Linked DNA regions of Lepisosteus oculatus. The protein of the gene in region 1 interacts with the protein of each later gene in a biochemical or structural test. Links are inferred from orthologs where the notes say so. Each region holds a gene or a part of one and is shown in the gene's direction. Other genes may lie near its edges.

The links.
Region 2: of the proteins of syk (region 1) and flt3, one has a biochemical effect on the other in vitro, tested with the Homo sapiens proteins (2 studies listed by IntAct, with this or other methods). The link is inferred for Lepisosteus oculatus from reciprocal best matches to the Homo sapiens genes SYK and FLT3.

What each region holds. Positions count from the first base shown.
Region 1 is NC_090698.1:49,713,808-49,721,595, forward strand, and holds the start of syk (tyrosine-protein kinase SYK), read left to right. Parts: upstream 1-4,718; 5' UTR 4,719-5,032; intron 5,033-7,788. UniProt on the Homo sapiens protein: Non-receptor tyrosine kinase which mediates signal transduction downstream of a variety of transmembrane receptors including classical immunoreceptors like the B-cell receptor (BCR).
Region 2 is NC_090700.1:5,713,688-5,721,665, reverse strand, and holds the start of flt3 (receptor-type tyrosine-protein kinase FLT3), read left to right. Parts: upstream 1-4,931; 5' UTR 4,932-5,010; coding exon 5,011-5,059; intron 5,060-6,946; coding exon 6,947-7,026; intron 7,027-7,707; coding exon 7,708-7,910; intron 7,911-7,978. Other genes in the region: PAN2-PAN3 deadenylation complex subunit PAN3, read right to left, coding at 1,379-1,712. UniProt on the Homo sapiens protein: Tyrosine-protein kinase that acts as a cell-surface receptor for the cytokine FLT3LG and regulates differentiation, proliferation and survival of hematopoietic progenitor cells and of dendritic cells.

The sequences.
Region 1 (7,788 bases):
ATCCATTGAGAACTTTTTCTGTCTGCATGTAACATTCTGCACATAAATGTTGCCCACTATAAATGTTGCCACTGTTAGCTGAGTCTTGATTTTTTTATACATTTAAAAATTTCCTTTGCAATGTTTACAGTTTACTACCCTCCTGTTTTTACATCATATGTAAACTTGACTAGTTAATTAATTATTCCAGAAAATAGACCATAAATATACATAAAAAATAATGGACCTAGTGCAGTTCCCTGTGGTACTCCAGAATTTACACAGCTCCCATTTGAACATTCACCCTGTATCTGTGCTCCTTTAGGATTTATCCTTCTTACAATTAGTGTTTTCTATAGAAAGATAGTTCTACTTAAAACATATATTTAGATTATTTAATGTATAATATTTATCTTAATATACCATTTCTCTGTTTATGTCCACTACTGCCATCATTTGTTCAAGAATTACAAAAAGTGTTCTGAGCAAACCTTTTTCTTAATCTATGTTGGCATTTTGCTATTCCAATATTCTCTATCTACTTTTTGGTTAGCAGTGAGCCTTGTTTCATGAACACAAATGTCACAGGCCCCCAGACTCTGTTTTTTTAGGTTTCTAAAAAAGAAATCCTTTTTCATATGGGAAAGTAAAGCTGTTTAATTAAAATACAGAGGCAACTTACTAGCTCTGCAGTCTATTCTGCTTTGACAGCATTCATCCTCTTTCTGGCTATAGAATAATTGTCCTGACCTGCACTTGACCTGAAGATGTTCCATTAACTAAAATGTTATACTAGTACATTTCTTTGTATTGGAGTGAATAATTTCTTTTTTATGGAAATGGGACAAGAGTCAGAGAACACAAGTGCAAACCATAACAAAGTGCATTAAAAACTAAGAAGAGAGGAGGAACTTGAAGGAGTACAGTACAAACTGGCAAGCTACAGTATGATGGTTGAAGCTGCTTCTCAGGCTTCAATCAGGATATAGCTGTGTGTCATTTTGTTACTGAAAAATCAAATGAGCAAGACTGGCCTAATGGCCCACTTTTATTTGTAATTTATCGGATGTTCTTAAGTTTTGAGACAGCTAGCTCTTGCTGAAACTCACGTTTATTGACAGGAAAAGTTATGTTGCTTGATTAACCATGCGATACAGTACAGTATGTTTTCATTTTACAGAAAAGCAAATGCTTTTGGTTGCAAGGCAACATGTAAATATACTGGATCTAATTTCCACATAGCACATACAAGTACAATTTAAGATTTAGCATAAAATTAAATAGTGAAAGAAACAGTTGTAATTATGTTGCCTTAATCTCTCTTTATTTCAAAGTGTTCTTTGTTCTAGTTTTTACACACACAGACTAGAAGAAGAAAAGCACGATGAGTTTACAGTGAGCTTCGTGAGAAGTCTGATAGGCAGAGTCTGCCATCTGCTGGGACTTTGGAACAACACCATGCTTTCATCTGCAGTCTTAAGCCATTTACAGTCTCAGTATGAACAGTACAAAGAACATTATAACTCTGGAGAGGTTGACTAAAAATAGTAAATTTAAAAATAGTTGCTAGCATAAGCATACATTATTACAGGTCAGAACAATAATGATTAATTGGCTCAAATATAAATGGAAAAACATCAGTGCAAGTTGGTACTTAGAATGCTACAAAATCATCTAGCCTTTACCTGTATATGGACATACTGTATTGTAGTTATAGGCAGACATGTCTTTAAATCTGAAAGTGGAATACCAAAAGGCCTAGCCAAAGGTGCTCCAAATTTTTCAAAGCTACTGAAACAATGAAGAAACAACTCCAACTAGACTCAGGGAAAAACAAACAGGTTGCAGAAGTGGACTGATGTTCACTAGCTTGTGTAGCAGATTTTTAGCAGATGTCATCAAAACTGACAACCTACATCCTGGCATCTGGAATCTGGAGAAGGGAGTCCTACATCAGTGTTTCTTTTGGGATTGGAAGAAAACTGTTTTTCATTTAACATGTTTATTTTAGTGAGCAAAGTATGACCTTAAAAAATATTTTTCACCATTTTTAGATAGATGCTTGGGGGTGGAATTAAAGTTGGGGGCCGACACTATACTGAATGGATGTAGTGAGTAGGGGGTCGGCAAAATGTATGAGTGAGGAGGCCATGCCCAGCTGAGACTAATACTGATGAACCCATGGGGCACAGTGAGTGTCAGTAACTGTGGAGGTGTCCTATGAGGACAGTGGGATAGAAAGGGGGAAAGAGGAGGAAAAAGGTGGGGAGTGGGGTGGATGATGAGGAGAGGAAGGAGAGGAGTCGAACTTTGCTCACATTTCTTAATGTATTGTACCTCATGGAAAAGTGGTGTCCCTCTGTTGTCTTTAAGTTAGGAGCTGGTCTGCGTTAGTTTAAGTTCTCTGCTTGTAAAGTCAGGGTTATATCCTAGCGTTTAGCTGTCATAAGTCTTAAATACAATCAGATGTGACTGGTTTATGGTTACTGGCTCTTCTGGACTTTTTTCAGCTAAGATCTGAATCTAGGATACAGATGTGGACCAAGGCTTAGCCAGCTTACTGTCTGAATATTTTTCTAGACCAGGGTCTAGCTTGCGGGAGCCTTGCAGTGAGCCTTACAGCCCAACTCTTCTTACAGAAACATTTCAGTATAACACTGCCAGTGATACCGGGTAGCTCTTCCATGTGCATGCTTGTTATTTTGAAAAATAACAACACCACATAATGGTAGTTCCCACACCATGGTCATTTGTTTAAAAAAACACATATCTTTAAAACGAGCTTTATGTAGTCCTTGTTCTCTCACCTGTGGTTTGGACACAAGCCTGAAGCAATTCCGTGTTAATTTATATGTAAAACCTGGATGAAATAAAAACTTCAACTTGCCTGTCAACGAAACTACACAGACCTAGTGTAATATTGTGAGTTTTACGAATACTTACTCCTTCTCCTCCTTTTGTACCCCACCATTGAGTAAGGGGTTTGTAATTCTGTCATTGGAAGGTGGGCTGAAGTTCTGATTTAATCCAGACCAAAGATACGCCAAAATGAAAAAATGGGAAGAGCTGAACACATAACTTAAAGGACAGATAAAGGACAGATTTATTTATAAACTGAAAAGGTGAGATTTTACATTGTACTCTTTCAAGCTCTTTGAAAAATTATATCATACACTATTAATAAAAATAGTGTTAAAAAATAATTGTAGTCTATGTGGGAAGCATGGTGGCTACAGTGGTTAACATTGCAGCCTTTCAACACTGGAGCCTCAAGTTCACTTACAGACCTAGGGTGCTATCTGCATGGAGTTTGTACAGTAAGTTCTCCCTTCATGTGGGCTACTTCTGGCTGCTCTGGTTTCCTCCCACAATCCAAAAATATAATGGTAAATTCATTGGTTTCTGGGAAAATGGGCTGTGTTATACTGTAAGTGTGTGTGTTTCTGTCTGTGTGTACCCTGTAATGGACTGGTGTCCCATCCAGGGTGTATCCTGCATCCTACTTTGCCCGCTGTTTACCAGGATAGGCTCTGGACCCTCTACAACTCTTGAATTGGATAAAGCTGTTAGAAAATTGAAGGAGGGATGTGCTGTTTGTATAAACCAAGAACAACCACTAGATGTCAGTTTTGAGTGTCAAAGAAGGCTGTTTAAAATAAATTCATTAAAAATGTCTTTATGTTTCCACGACGTTCTAATTATGAAATGGATTCCACACATATTTCTGTTTTTTTATGTTATATAGTACAACTGTATGTTATAAATATGGTTCCAAGCATCAGCTTAGACCAAGACCTTTTCTGATCTTTACTAAAAACTAAATTGACTGGTTCAAAGTCTCTTCGCTCTTTTTTTCAAGAGATTTGTTATGCTCACTGCAATTTGAAAGATTCACAGACTGACTGCCTGTCTGATTGATTGATTCCATATCAATGCTGTTAATTTCTAACCTGTGTTGTTAATTTCTAAATTTCTAATACTATTGTATTAGAATGCAATAACCAAGTGATTGATTGTCAAGTTAAAGTTTTTAAAAATTAGTTTATATTACATATGACTCATTTTTCAAATGTACACTTTTTTAAATGAAAAGAAAAGTGAAAAATGTTAATAGTTACAAAATTGTGAATTTTGCTGTGCCCATTATATTGCATTGATGAAACTCTTAAAGCCTTTCTTTATAGTTTGAATACAAGCCTTGTATTTATTTACTCTGCAGTAGTAGTAAATAAGAATTACTTCTTACAGTAATAGTAGTTGTTTGTAACCCAAACATACAGTGTAGATATTATGTATGCAAAGATACCCAGATATTGTATATATTTTCCTATCAGTAAGAAAATATCATACAGTAAGAATATTTTCATTACCAGGTCTAAGCAAACTATCATATTACTTCACTCAATGTATTATATTGCATAACGGTATTTGCTATACTGTACATACAGTAAACTGCAAATATTATCCTCACATACTGTACAGGAGTTTGTCAGCATAGTAGTTTGTCTTTTTTACAATACTTTTAAAGCCCTGTTTTCTGTATGATTGAACAGGCATGCCTGAACCACATTTTTTAAAAAAATTCATTCCGACATGGACACATATACATCTATCTACATACCATACAGTACATACATATATTGATGTTTTAAATCAAGACAGACTTTGGACAAAAGGGGAAGTCATATTCTAGAAAAAAAAGTCAAGGAAGTAGCTGCAAGCTGTTAAAAAGGGGAAGCTAAATTACACTTCCACATTGTACTCTGGCCTCTGCAAAAAACTCAAGTCTTGTAACCTCTTTAATGTAACACACATTAGTAATACATTGCGTTAAATATATATAGAATTTATTGTCAAGTTAAAGTTCCAATTTGCTGTTGATCAATTTTCTAAACTCATGTCACCTCCTGATACAAATTCTTCCAGAGTGATCACTTCAAAATATCCAAGAAGAGCCAGACCACATCCTGTTCACTTCACAAGCAGTTGAATATGGTTGCTTCTTTCTCCGAGCACAGAGACAGCTAGAAAAGGTTTTGGACCTACGTGAAAGGTAACGTTTTTGCTTATTGATTGACTACTGAATGTATGGATGAATTAATGTTGTGGGATTTTATTTTTTGAAAGAGAGTTTATGAAAAAGTAAAGTGCTAGCCACACTGTAAATGAAATACTTTGGATCAAAAGAAAAATGAAAGGCACCTGAGCAATTTTCCACTATTTGTTTTATTTAATTGACTGTGTGAGAGCTCAAGTGAATCTCGATATGATTTAATGATAGTGTTGTATACATACTGTATGATATATATGTAGAGGCTCTTTGTACGTCGTTATTAATAGTAAAATATATTTTTCTTTTGACTTCTTTAATTTCTAATGTTTCGAAGCAAGCGCCAGAAGCAGTGACCGTTTTCTTTTTATTTTCTATTAAATTAACAAAAATGACCAGGACTATTAAACCTAAAATTACATTTAGGTTATCTACAGTACATATTATTTTTTCAGACAGGATAATTTTGTGTGTGTCAAGTAAACTCAAGTTTTAATATGTTAAGCTCATATCTTTTAAACACATTTTAAAGTAACTGATCTTTTACATTTAATTTAAAGTTGCATTCTGTATATAGTCAGCTTTCTTGTAAATTACAGTGAACGTAGTGTAAATGTATTATTGAAATGGAGTCCAATGCTGCACATTGGAGTTGCTTTTGCGTTTTTTGAACACAATATTTTTAGGATGTTTGTCCTGTAATACAGAGAAAGGGAACTAGTATTCACAGAGAAAGGAAGGCAGAATAGTTGGAAAGTGGAAAATAATGTTTTCGCAGTCAAACATTTCTTTTTAGCACTTCTTCTAAACCATCCCACCCATTTCTGATTAACACAAACTGTGAAATACTAATATTAGTCCTTAGCAATAACATGGAAGGTAGTATATTTAAACATATATGAAGCATATAAAGTACTTTATTTTTTTTTTCAAATGTACTTTTAAATGCACTTTAGGGCACTGTTATGGCAGTGTTGAACAACATTATGTTCACTTAGCTCGTATGATTTATTGATTTAAGATAATGCTTTATTTGATTCATATGTTTACAGACAGAAGTACCTGTACTGTATGCTTAACCTTGAAATTTACATCAAGAAAAAATATAATTGTACTAAAGTTTGCAAGTACAGTACTATTTTTTTACAATACATTAACAAGTGTTGAGTTATATCCCATGAGGGGAGTTGGGTTAGCACAGGTCCTGCCTAGGTACAATAAAATTAATAAAAAATGTATTTTAATAATTATACAGAAAGAAAAGAAATATATGGAAAAATGTAACAAAGGGGATATTTAGTCCTATTTAAATTCCTGTTAATTAACAAATAATATAAATCCTGAATTCTACTGCCATGATGACATTTCATACAGTGCAGGAACTCTACATAAACAGAAGGATTTTAGTGATTAATATTTTTCAGTTTATTTTTGTACATTTTTAAACCAAACATTCAAAAGGCAAGTTTTAATGCTCCGTGTATTAAATTAAATTATCTCCCTAGAAATTTGGCATCTAATAGTTGTAGTGATGTTGTCATGCAAAACAGAGAATCTTTAATCTAAGAGTTTGAGTTTCCTGCAGTAAGTCCAAGACCTACAGTACAGTATTGTCAATACAGTGCTCTTATTCATTTTGTCTCATTTTATGATGTTACTCCCATAAGTTCACCATTGTGTCTTTATTTCCATTCATGTGTACAGTAGCAGTATGAATTTACATACATGAAATATAGCATGCCTTTGAAAATAAATTGTTGCTAGTTTTAAATAATTGCTGTTTAACCATTGAGCTAATTAAACTAACCACGGGTAAATTAATAATCAGAAAACCCCTAAATAACAATGTAAGGGCTGCCATTTTATTTTCACATTTATTTTATGTGATTTTATTTCCAAATAGCTTTCATGTGAGTTACCAGTGAGAACTAGCAAAGTATTTGTCTCTTAAAAGTAATCAGGGAAGAATGATTCTGAAATTGTATGCATGCTGTAGAATCAGGTTCACAACATGTCATTTGTGTGTTTTTGCTTAATTAAAAAATGGCTTCCATTGGACTAACCCTAACACATTAATTGCTGGACCTCACGATTATAATAGACACACACTGCTGATTGCAAGGGGATAAAAACACTTTTGTTAATGATTAAGAAACTGGAAGCAAACTTTTCATGCCTAAAGCTGACTTCCTTAGACTGATCTGTTTATAGCTTGACTTTAGGTTTCTGAACACAGTTGTATGAATTTGCATGCCTGTATGTAAAGGCTTTAGAGTTTTTGTTTCCAGTTAAGGTGAAAACCACAGGGTGGACGAGCAAGGTACCGTAAATAAACACTGTTCTCTTGTATTTTGCATGTCAAATTAAATGGCAGCATTCTGAAAACATTGAAATATTTTTTTTATTCTTATGATGTTAATACTGTCCTCAAGAAATTAATGAGAAAAATATATCATTAAAGTAGCATACATTGTACTTTTATTGCAATTTAAAAGTACAGCATTGAGCTGCAATGTAGGGAGAAGTAAATAGTATTCACAGAAAAAGGAAGGTGCAGCAGTAAAACCCAAAATAAAGTTTTGTTAAGCTATTTCTTTCAGCACTTCTTCTCAAGCATCACATTTATTCCAGATAAAGAAAAACTGTGGAAATACAATGGAAAGTGTTTTTTAGTACTGATTGTACATCATTTTGAGTCTTCAAATCTTTTGTGATAAAAAAATGAAATTATTTGTGTATTAAAATTGTGCTGGAAAGGA
Region 2 (7,978 bases), on another chromosome or scaffold:
GGTCCTAACGCCCCAGTACACTGATGGGGACACCATGCCAAAAACAATTATTCTGATCTTTGGATGAAATGTAAAACTGAGTTCCTGACTCTCTGTGGTCATTAAAAATCCCAGGGTGTTACTCGAAAAGAGGAGGACTGTTACCCTGGTATCCTGGCCAAATTTTCCCCTGGCCTCCTAGAAATCCCCATCTATGAATTAGCTTCATCACCATGTTCTCCTTCCCAATGAGAGTTGGTGTGTGGTGAGTGTACTGGTGTAATTTGGCTATAGTTGCACAATCCAAGTGGGGCTACACACTGGTGCTGATAGAGGGGAGTCCCCATTACCCGTAAGGAGCACTGAGTGGAGTACCCAGAAAAGCCCTATAGAAGTGTGGGGAATTATTATTATTATTTCCGTGCTGCTAGTGACTGAAAAGAAAGTGGTCTCTTTCTTTTCAGTTTCACTCTTCTAAGGCTGACCCGACTCCGTTATTAGCTCCTTTAACATCGTGGTCCAAACCGAACAATGTCTCCGAAATGACGTACAATGACACCGACTCCTGGCTCCTCATACCGGCCACCTGCTGACCCAGACCGAGACTGAGCTGGTTTACCCGCGCACCCAGCCGATATGGATCGATAAATAGCCCCGGCGTCCTCCCCCGTCCATACCCATGCGCCTCAAAGCGGTCCCCCGGCGGGCAGCCAATCAGAGGGCCGGCTAGGACAGACGTAAACAACTGCACACCTTTTGTGCCCGAAATGAAAACCCCAACACCGAGACCCAGGCTCCTTGCAGAACAAACATCGCTACTTTGTATCATCAGCCACCCCCCTCCCCAAGAACTCGCCGACCAGCCCTGGCATTTTTCAAATCTCACATCACCAGCAACCGTGTCGCATTTACCGCCTATTGCCTGGCTGGCTAATCTAGATACCGATTAAAAATGCACGATCGTCGCGATGCCAGGCATTATCTGCGCCTTCGGTCCCATAAAGGTTACCCCTCCTTTTTTTTTTTTTAAGAGAGAGAGAGAGTTTCTGAAAACTTGAAAAATAAACCACTTGCTTTAAAAAAAAAACGGGCTCGGTGCAGGATTATTAAAAAAAACCGCAAAAGATTTTTTAAAAAAAGAAACCGTGCAAACGGTTTGGCCTAAAGCTCCGGTCTTTGAAGAGTGTTTTGTTTTTTTAAATAAGGACTAAAACTTTCTGGGGGAGTTCCCCCGCTACCCAGAGAAAGAGGAGGCCCAACGCGGAGCCCCGGCCTCGATTTCCACACAATAGCTACAGGCCGGGGAAACCAAGTGCGACAGCGCGGGCGGCAAAGCGAGACCGAGCTAGGCCTCCGTGCATGCACGCCGATGTAGTGAGTAATGAAAGGGATGTCTCACTGGCAAGCAACTGTCCGTCCAGTCCCGTGCCTGCTGGCCCGAGGGGGTCGCCCTTTTTGGGCACTCCTGTCCCACCGCCACCCGGCCCGGCGCCTGCAGCTCCTCCGAGTGGGTATCCGGCCGCTGGTCCCCCGGGCAGAGAGAGCGGGACGGGGCTGCCTCCGCCGCCGTGCAGCGCCAGGCCCGCCATGGACGGGTCCTCATGCAAGAACTGACACTCGTCTCCATAGAAGCAGGTCTTGTCCTTGGCGTAGTACCGGCAGAACTTCACCTTGACGCTGGGAATCCCGACCCCCGCCAGCGGAGTTGCTGAAGCTGGGAGCCCGCTGTTCATGGCCCTGCTGCTGCTGCTGCTGTCGCCACCGCCGCGGCCGCCGGAAGATACTCGAACATAGAGAGCGAAGCCGAGCAGACGAGACACCAAAGTGGGTTATTTGCAGCGTTCAACAGTAGGGACAAAGCCTGCGGTGCCGCCAGACACGGGCAAGCCGGAGCGACCCGATGCAGCGTATTTGGGTGCTTTTGCTTCCTGAATCGGCCGTCCTTTTGTACGTGCTGGAACAATATCCACGGCTGGGGTCCCAGGGCGCTACACGCACAGGGAAGTTTCTTTCACTTCACTGTTGTGTTTTTTTCTTCCTCTCTTCCTCTGGAATCACTTCGCTGAGCATGAGCAGACAGCTGCATTGTGGGTAGAGAGGCAATCCAACCAGAGCAAACTGCGCTGAGACCCTCAGCTGCCTCCGAGCGACCATCTTTATCAGCTTGGGATCTCCGACCTAAAAATCCGATTTCATTTACGGGGGGGAGGTTTTGAGATCGGATCGAAAAAGCCCCCCCAAAAAAGTAAAAAAAGGACTTCCTTTCGCTCGTGTTCGCACGAGAAAGGCGGTGGTCTCCAACAAACAGGTTGCACCGTCCTGGCAAGACAATGTCCCCCCGTGGCGTTTCCAAATCTGCTCTGTCCGCTGATCGGATGGCGCACTGAGACAGACCGGCGCCCAGCAGGGACCCCAGGTAGCGCAGTTACGCGCAATTCGCTCTGAACGGCCGCCCTGGCATGGCCCGCGACAGCGCTGCCAAATGCGAGGCGCTTTGAAGGAACCGGGGAAGAGAAAAACACCGTACGACAAATGTGCATGAGACAGTCGTCATGAGATTTTTTTTTTTTTAGATAAGTGGAAGGGAAAAATAAAGTGGACTGATTAGGGCCAAATAAAATGGACCTGGCTAGGCTGTGTGGGTCCGGGCAGCGCTACTCTGTGACAGGCACATACTGCCAGTGCCGCACTCACAATACACTACTGTGCAGTAGCTGATCCTTACCTTCACGGTAGGGTCTGGGAGTGAGTACAGGGAGGCGCGCTTCTGATCTGGGGAGGGACACTTCCCAGTCAGTGTAGCAGAAGGTGGTAGCCCTGTCTGTACCTCAGACGGCAGGCGGTGGGAGCAGAGCAAGCCGAGCTCTGAGTCGACACGTCTGCCTTGTATCGCGCAGTTTTGGATGGCCAGGCTGTGGCGACCGAGCCCCGTAACTTCGTAAAGTCTGCCTCTGCGAGGTGGCAGGTGGATTCTAGGTTAATCAGCGCTGCTTACCAGTTTGAGAGTTTTGCATCGTTAGTCATTGCCCTGTCGGTGCTGGGTGCTTTGTTACGTGTCACTACGAGATCGCACCTACTTGTGATGCGCCTTCTGTTATGGAGTTCAGCAGTGCCCTCATCAATTTCAGAGGTAGCTTTGCACTCTCCTTGTGGGAAACGTTGTCTCTCTAGTGTGCTTGTTTCCATGCTCGGGTTCTGCCATTGACCCAGCAAAAGATTTTTAAATAAAGATAAAAATATTGCTAAAGATAGGAAGTTAAATAAACATGTTTGAACTATATATATTCCTCCACCTCACTGCTTTTGGAAAAGTCATGAATCATATGTTGTTGTTGTTGTTGTTGTTTACTTTGCATACAGTTTGAAGAATTCAGGTATTGGATTAAGGTGGCTGAAAGTTTTGCACTGAAAGGTTATGTATTCATTACTTTAAAGACTAACATATGAGATTTATTAGATCAAGAAGTATTATAAATGAAAACATTTATACATGTATAAATAATTATAGAGACACTTCTTTCATTAAAATATGCCTGTTCAATAACTTTTATGTATTCTTAATATTCCCTTTTATCAAACTGTTGCTGTACCAGTGAAATTTCGGGTCCATTCCTAGGACATCTATGATTTTATCTTACAAGTATTTAGCTCTTTCAACTTTCCCAGTTATGATTTTACCAAGGACATTACTGAAACAGCACTCGTTAAGAGAATGATTTGCTCAATGATATCTAATGCTGGATGGCTTAATATTCTTCTTCCTGATTTAACTGAAGCTGTTGTTACTGTCATTCGTGACAGGCTTAAAAAAGAGCACATGAAAAATTATCTAGGGATCACTGATACATCCTTTGATTTGGCTCTTGACTGGCTTAAGGAATTTAAGGAATTGTGGTCCCACTGGATTCATGTAGTCAGTAAACAAATGTCCCTGACAAGTTATGTTAATTAAAACTGTTTAAATTGCAAAACCATTTCCACTTTTGTCAATACATAACAGAACCCAATTAATAAACTGCTTTAAATCAGCATTTGTCATGCTTGTGACATTGTGACGGTTATGGAGTTCCCCAGGGTTCTGTGCTGAGGCCTTTGCAGTTTAGTATGTCCATGCTGCCGCTATGTTGATGACACTCAGATTTACTTACAGGCTAAATCCGGCACCGTCCACCTGCAGGGCGTCCCTGACTGCTCCCATCATTCACAATGCATCAATTTATATTCAATGAATTCACATTAGTATAGAAAGTTCAAAAGCCTCATCAGGGCAGCTCAAAGTAAATGGTTTAGCGGCTCATAGAAAATGTTTCAGCAGCGAATCCACTTTCCCATTTAAACCTTATTGATTCCTTATCACGTTTTCCTCAGCATGAATTAAGTTTTTTCCTCTATCATCTACAATACTAAATTAAATGGTCAAACTTGCAGCAATTATAGCCTTTCGAAGCTCAAGCTGTGTGAGAGGAATTGTGTGGGCGAGTGTGAGCATGCATTTTTTGTTTGTTTGTCGAGGTAGACGGCTATGGTTGGTTTTGTGTGCTTGATGGAACAGTGATTAAATATACTGAAGAGAGGTAATTGCAGCAGAATTGCACCTGAACCTCCTTGAACTGTTTGAATTTCCTTCCTTAAAGGGAACCGCACCAGGATCCTCGAATTTTACAGCAGGAAAATAATTGTGAATAGCAGAATTAAGACTGCGGCACAGTAGTACAGTGTATACTGTATGTACAGTGTGTGGCATGAAGGTCAGGTGGAATTACACCATTTTCATGTATTTGCACTTTGGGGATGCTAATTCAGATTCAGAGCAATGCACCTGAATTGTGCGTGGACTCTGCTCTCCGGCTCATGAGCTGAGTTGAGCTCCACCTCAACACCACTGAAAGTTGGTAACGTGACGCAGAGACGGGCAGGCGTAACCTTTTGTCGGGCAGTGCCGTGTGCGAAGTTCTTCTTTTTGAAGTCCACCGCTCTCTGTTTTAGTGCACAGTCTTGGACGTGCACGATGAAACAGGCTGATTTACGGTAATGGGGCGATTTGCGATGCAAACCTTCTGCAAGGAAATCGTTCTGCTGGGTAAGTGAGGCGCAGCGCCACCGCGCCCAGACAGAATCAAGGCACTTTGATATCTACCATGTGATGCTTTGAATGAATTCACAATGCTGCAAATGGTAAACAGTTCTATTCTCTTGCGGCTTCACAGAGTTAATCGTTTTTTTTTTCAGAACGACTGTGGTATTTGTGTCAAATTCGTGATCTTTTACACACGCACCGTAACAGGTCCGTGTCGGAGACTACGCCGAAGGGGCTCCGCAGCGCCTCTCTTAATTACGATGATCTCAGCAGCTCGTTCAGCGGCTATTAATGTTGACCTTGTTTAAATGACCGTGTAATTTTACAATTAAACATAATTCAACCCACGGGACTTTTCCGTCCTCGATTTTCTTAAGTGAGAACATAAAGATTCAAATAAAGACAGCGAGGGAGAACAGTTCATTAAAATCCGTCGAAAGATAGTAGTAACAAGTTCTTTATCGCCATTTCTAAATATATCAATACCCAGTACACCAAAAACCGCAAAGATGCTAAACAAGGCCTTGATCTTATACTTAAAAGCAGTGTTTTGACCTAAAACTATGACGGACGCACATTTTAGTTTTAATACCACAATACCTTCTTCTTAAATCGTTATCTTGTTGGTGGACGGTTTTTGTCATTGTGTCATTCCTAGCTGCGCTCAAAACCAAACGGTTGTAAACACTTAAAAAAAGATTAAGTCACCAAATAACAAAAACTATTGACACAAATTTATAGCGAAGAGACGTAACCGTTTGTAATTTTAGAAGTTATAATATGCACCATTTAGGCGTCTTGCTGAGTAATTATTTGACTTTCAGCTCTGACGTTAAAACGGATATGAAAATAATCGGATGAGTCTGTCAACCAACAAAATACTCCTGCTTGTATACAGTACGCAGCACCTATAATCCTTTATGACTACATGCAAGCTCTACACAAAACATAAAAAACTAACCTAACATTTATTTTCAATGTCACACATTGCAACGTTGCTGTTTAACTCAAATTAATAAATGAATGTATTAATTTATTGACCGTAATTTCCGCCGGCTTTCCACACAACAACCTGTTCACCTGGTCTGATCGATGGCAGCGGCGAAAACCAGCTCAGTCAAATCTACAGATTTGTGTTCAGAGCAATTGAGTAAAAATATCAAACTGGCCAATTCCTTTCACTGCCAGATAACATCTTCAGAGACAAAACTTATTTCAGCTGTTAAAGGGAAGGGTGGTAGCGAAAAATGAGAATTATTGTCTGTATTTGAATAAGGTGTTGTTTACATCATTTTATTGTTATCATTATTAATATTAACAGTAACTTACAGTGGAACCGAAGTCTTTAGAAATAATTTTCCATCATTCATATATTATTTTTCCCTTTAGCCGATTGAATATCTGCCTCCTGTACTCAATTCTGTGTATATTCCATATAGCTTGCGCATCTGATACTGTAGACTTTATACTGAAACAATTTTTTATTTGTGAAGGTATTTCTCTCTAAAAAAAAACAGTTATCTTCTGTTAGGAGCGTTTTCATTAGCTCGTTTTAAACCTCGACGGAAAACTTAAGAATGTTTTCTAAACGTGTTTTTTTTTTTTAAAAACATATAGGCCAAAATATCTTGAAACACAACTACACGGTGCTTAAAGTTTCTGATCTTGCCTGTAAACCATGGCAACGATACCACCGTCACGGATGGATGTCTCTTTTTTGATCTATCTGAGCTCATTACACAGTTGGACTCATTCTTTGTCTTACTGGCCAAGCCGGGCACCTATACGACCAAGACGTTCGGTACACTACTCCAGCCCATCGAGTGCTTCAGTGAATCGTCCCTGTTGCTTGCCTGGAGTTACTCAGCGGACGCTTTCTGTATATTGCAGCTGTCACTCTTCCGCTGCTGTCGGCTGAAGCGCCAGGCGGTGGGACGGTGCCCCAAGTCCAATGTTTCGTGACGCGTAAGGTAAGAGAGACAACTGATTTGAAGAAGACACGGGGGATCTAAAAGTCACCCCTTCTCTGGCAGTGAAGCCTGGCACGACGTCCTTGTGTAACCAGGGCGATGCAGTTTGCAGCAGAGCTACAGATCAGAGACTCCTCTGATTGTCCTCCGATGGACATGTGGAGCTCGTCTTACCAAAGAGCTGCCTATATTGTGCTGGCAGCGTTTCCAACGAGAGCTACACTTCCAGAGGCCTGTGGAGGAGTGATTTTTCTTTTCTTTAGCACTCCATGTGAGGTTTCGGTTGGTTTAAAGGCATTCACCCACCAAATTAAGCGGAGTTTTAGTGTCTCCGAGGCCGAGACTGCCATGCTGGAATCAGAAAAAAAAAATTGTACCGCGCCTCCCCTAACTAGTACCGAAACAGTCGTCCTTTCTGCTAGCTCAGCTCACAAGCGACACATGCAAACCTCAATGAGGGAATGTTTCAACACACCCAGCTCAAATTAAACCAGAGGCTTTACAGATTCTGCTAAAAAGAAAGAAGGGAAAATGTATTCGTTTGTCATATTACATATTCTGATAACTGGTTTGCTAATTTATTTTAATTAAGGCCCGGGTCTTTCCACGCCCTTCGTTAACCAGAAATTTCGAATCGTTAACTCGTGAAAGAAGAAAAATTATGTTGTTTTTCTTATTTAGAGTGTCAGGTCGAAAATCACATGTGGAGCTTCCGTGCTAAAAATGCAGAACGGGACCTGTGTCTCTCCTGCGGGGAAGGTGACCAAAATGGAAATTGAGAAACACGAAACTGTTGAAGTACAGGCCCAGCTGAACAGTACAGAACACGTTGATTGTTACTGGCAACATAAGGAAAGGGGAGAATGTCTTTCCTATCGGGATGGGTACGTATTTTTATAATTATTCGTCATGTTCTCTCGTTAGTTCAGGTGGGTCGCTGCGTCTGCATGCG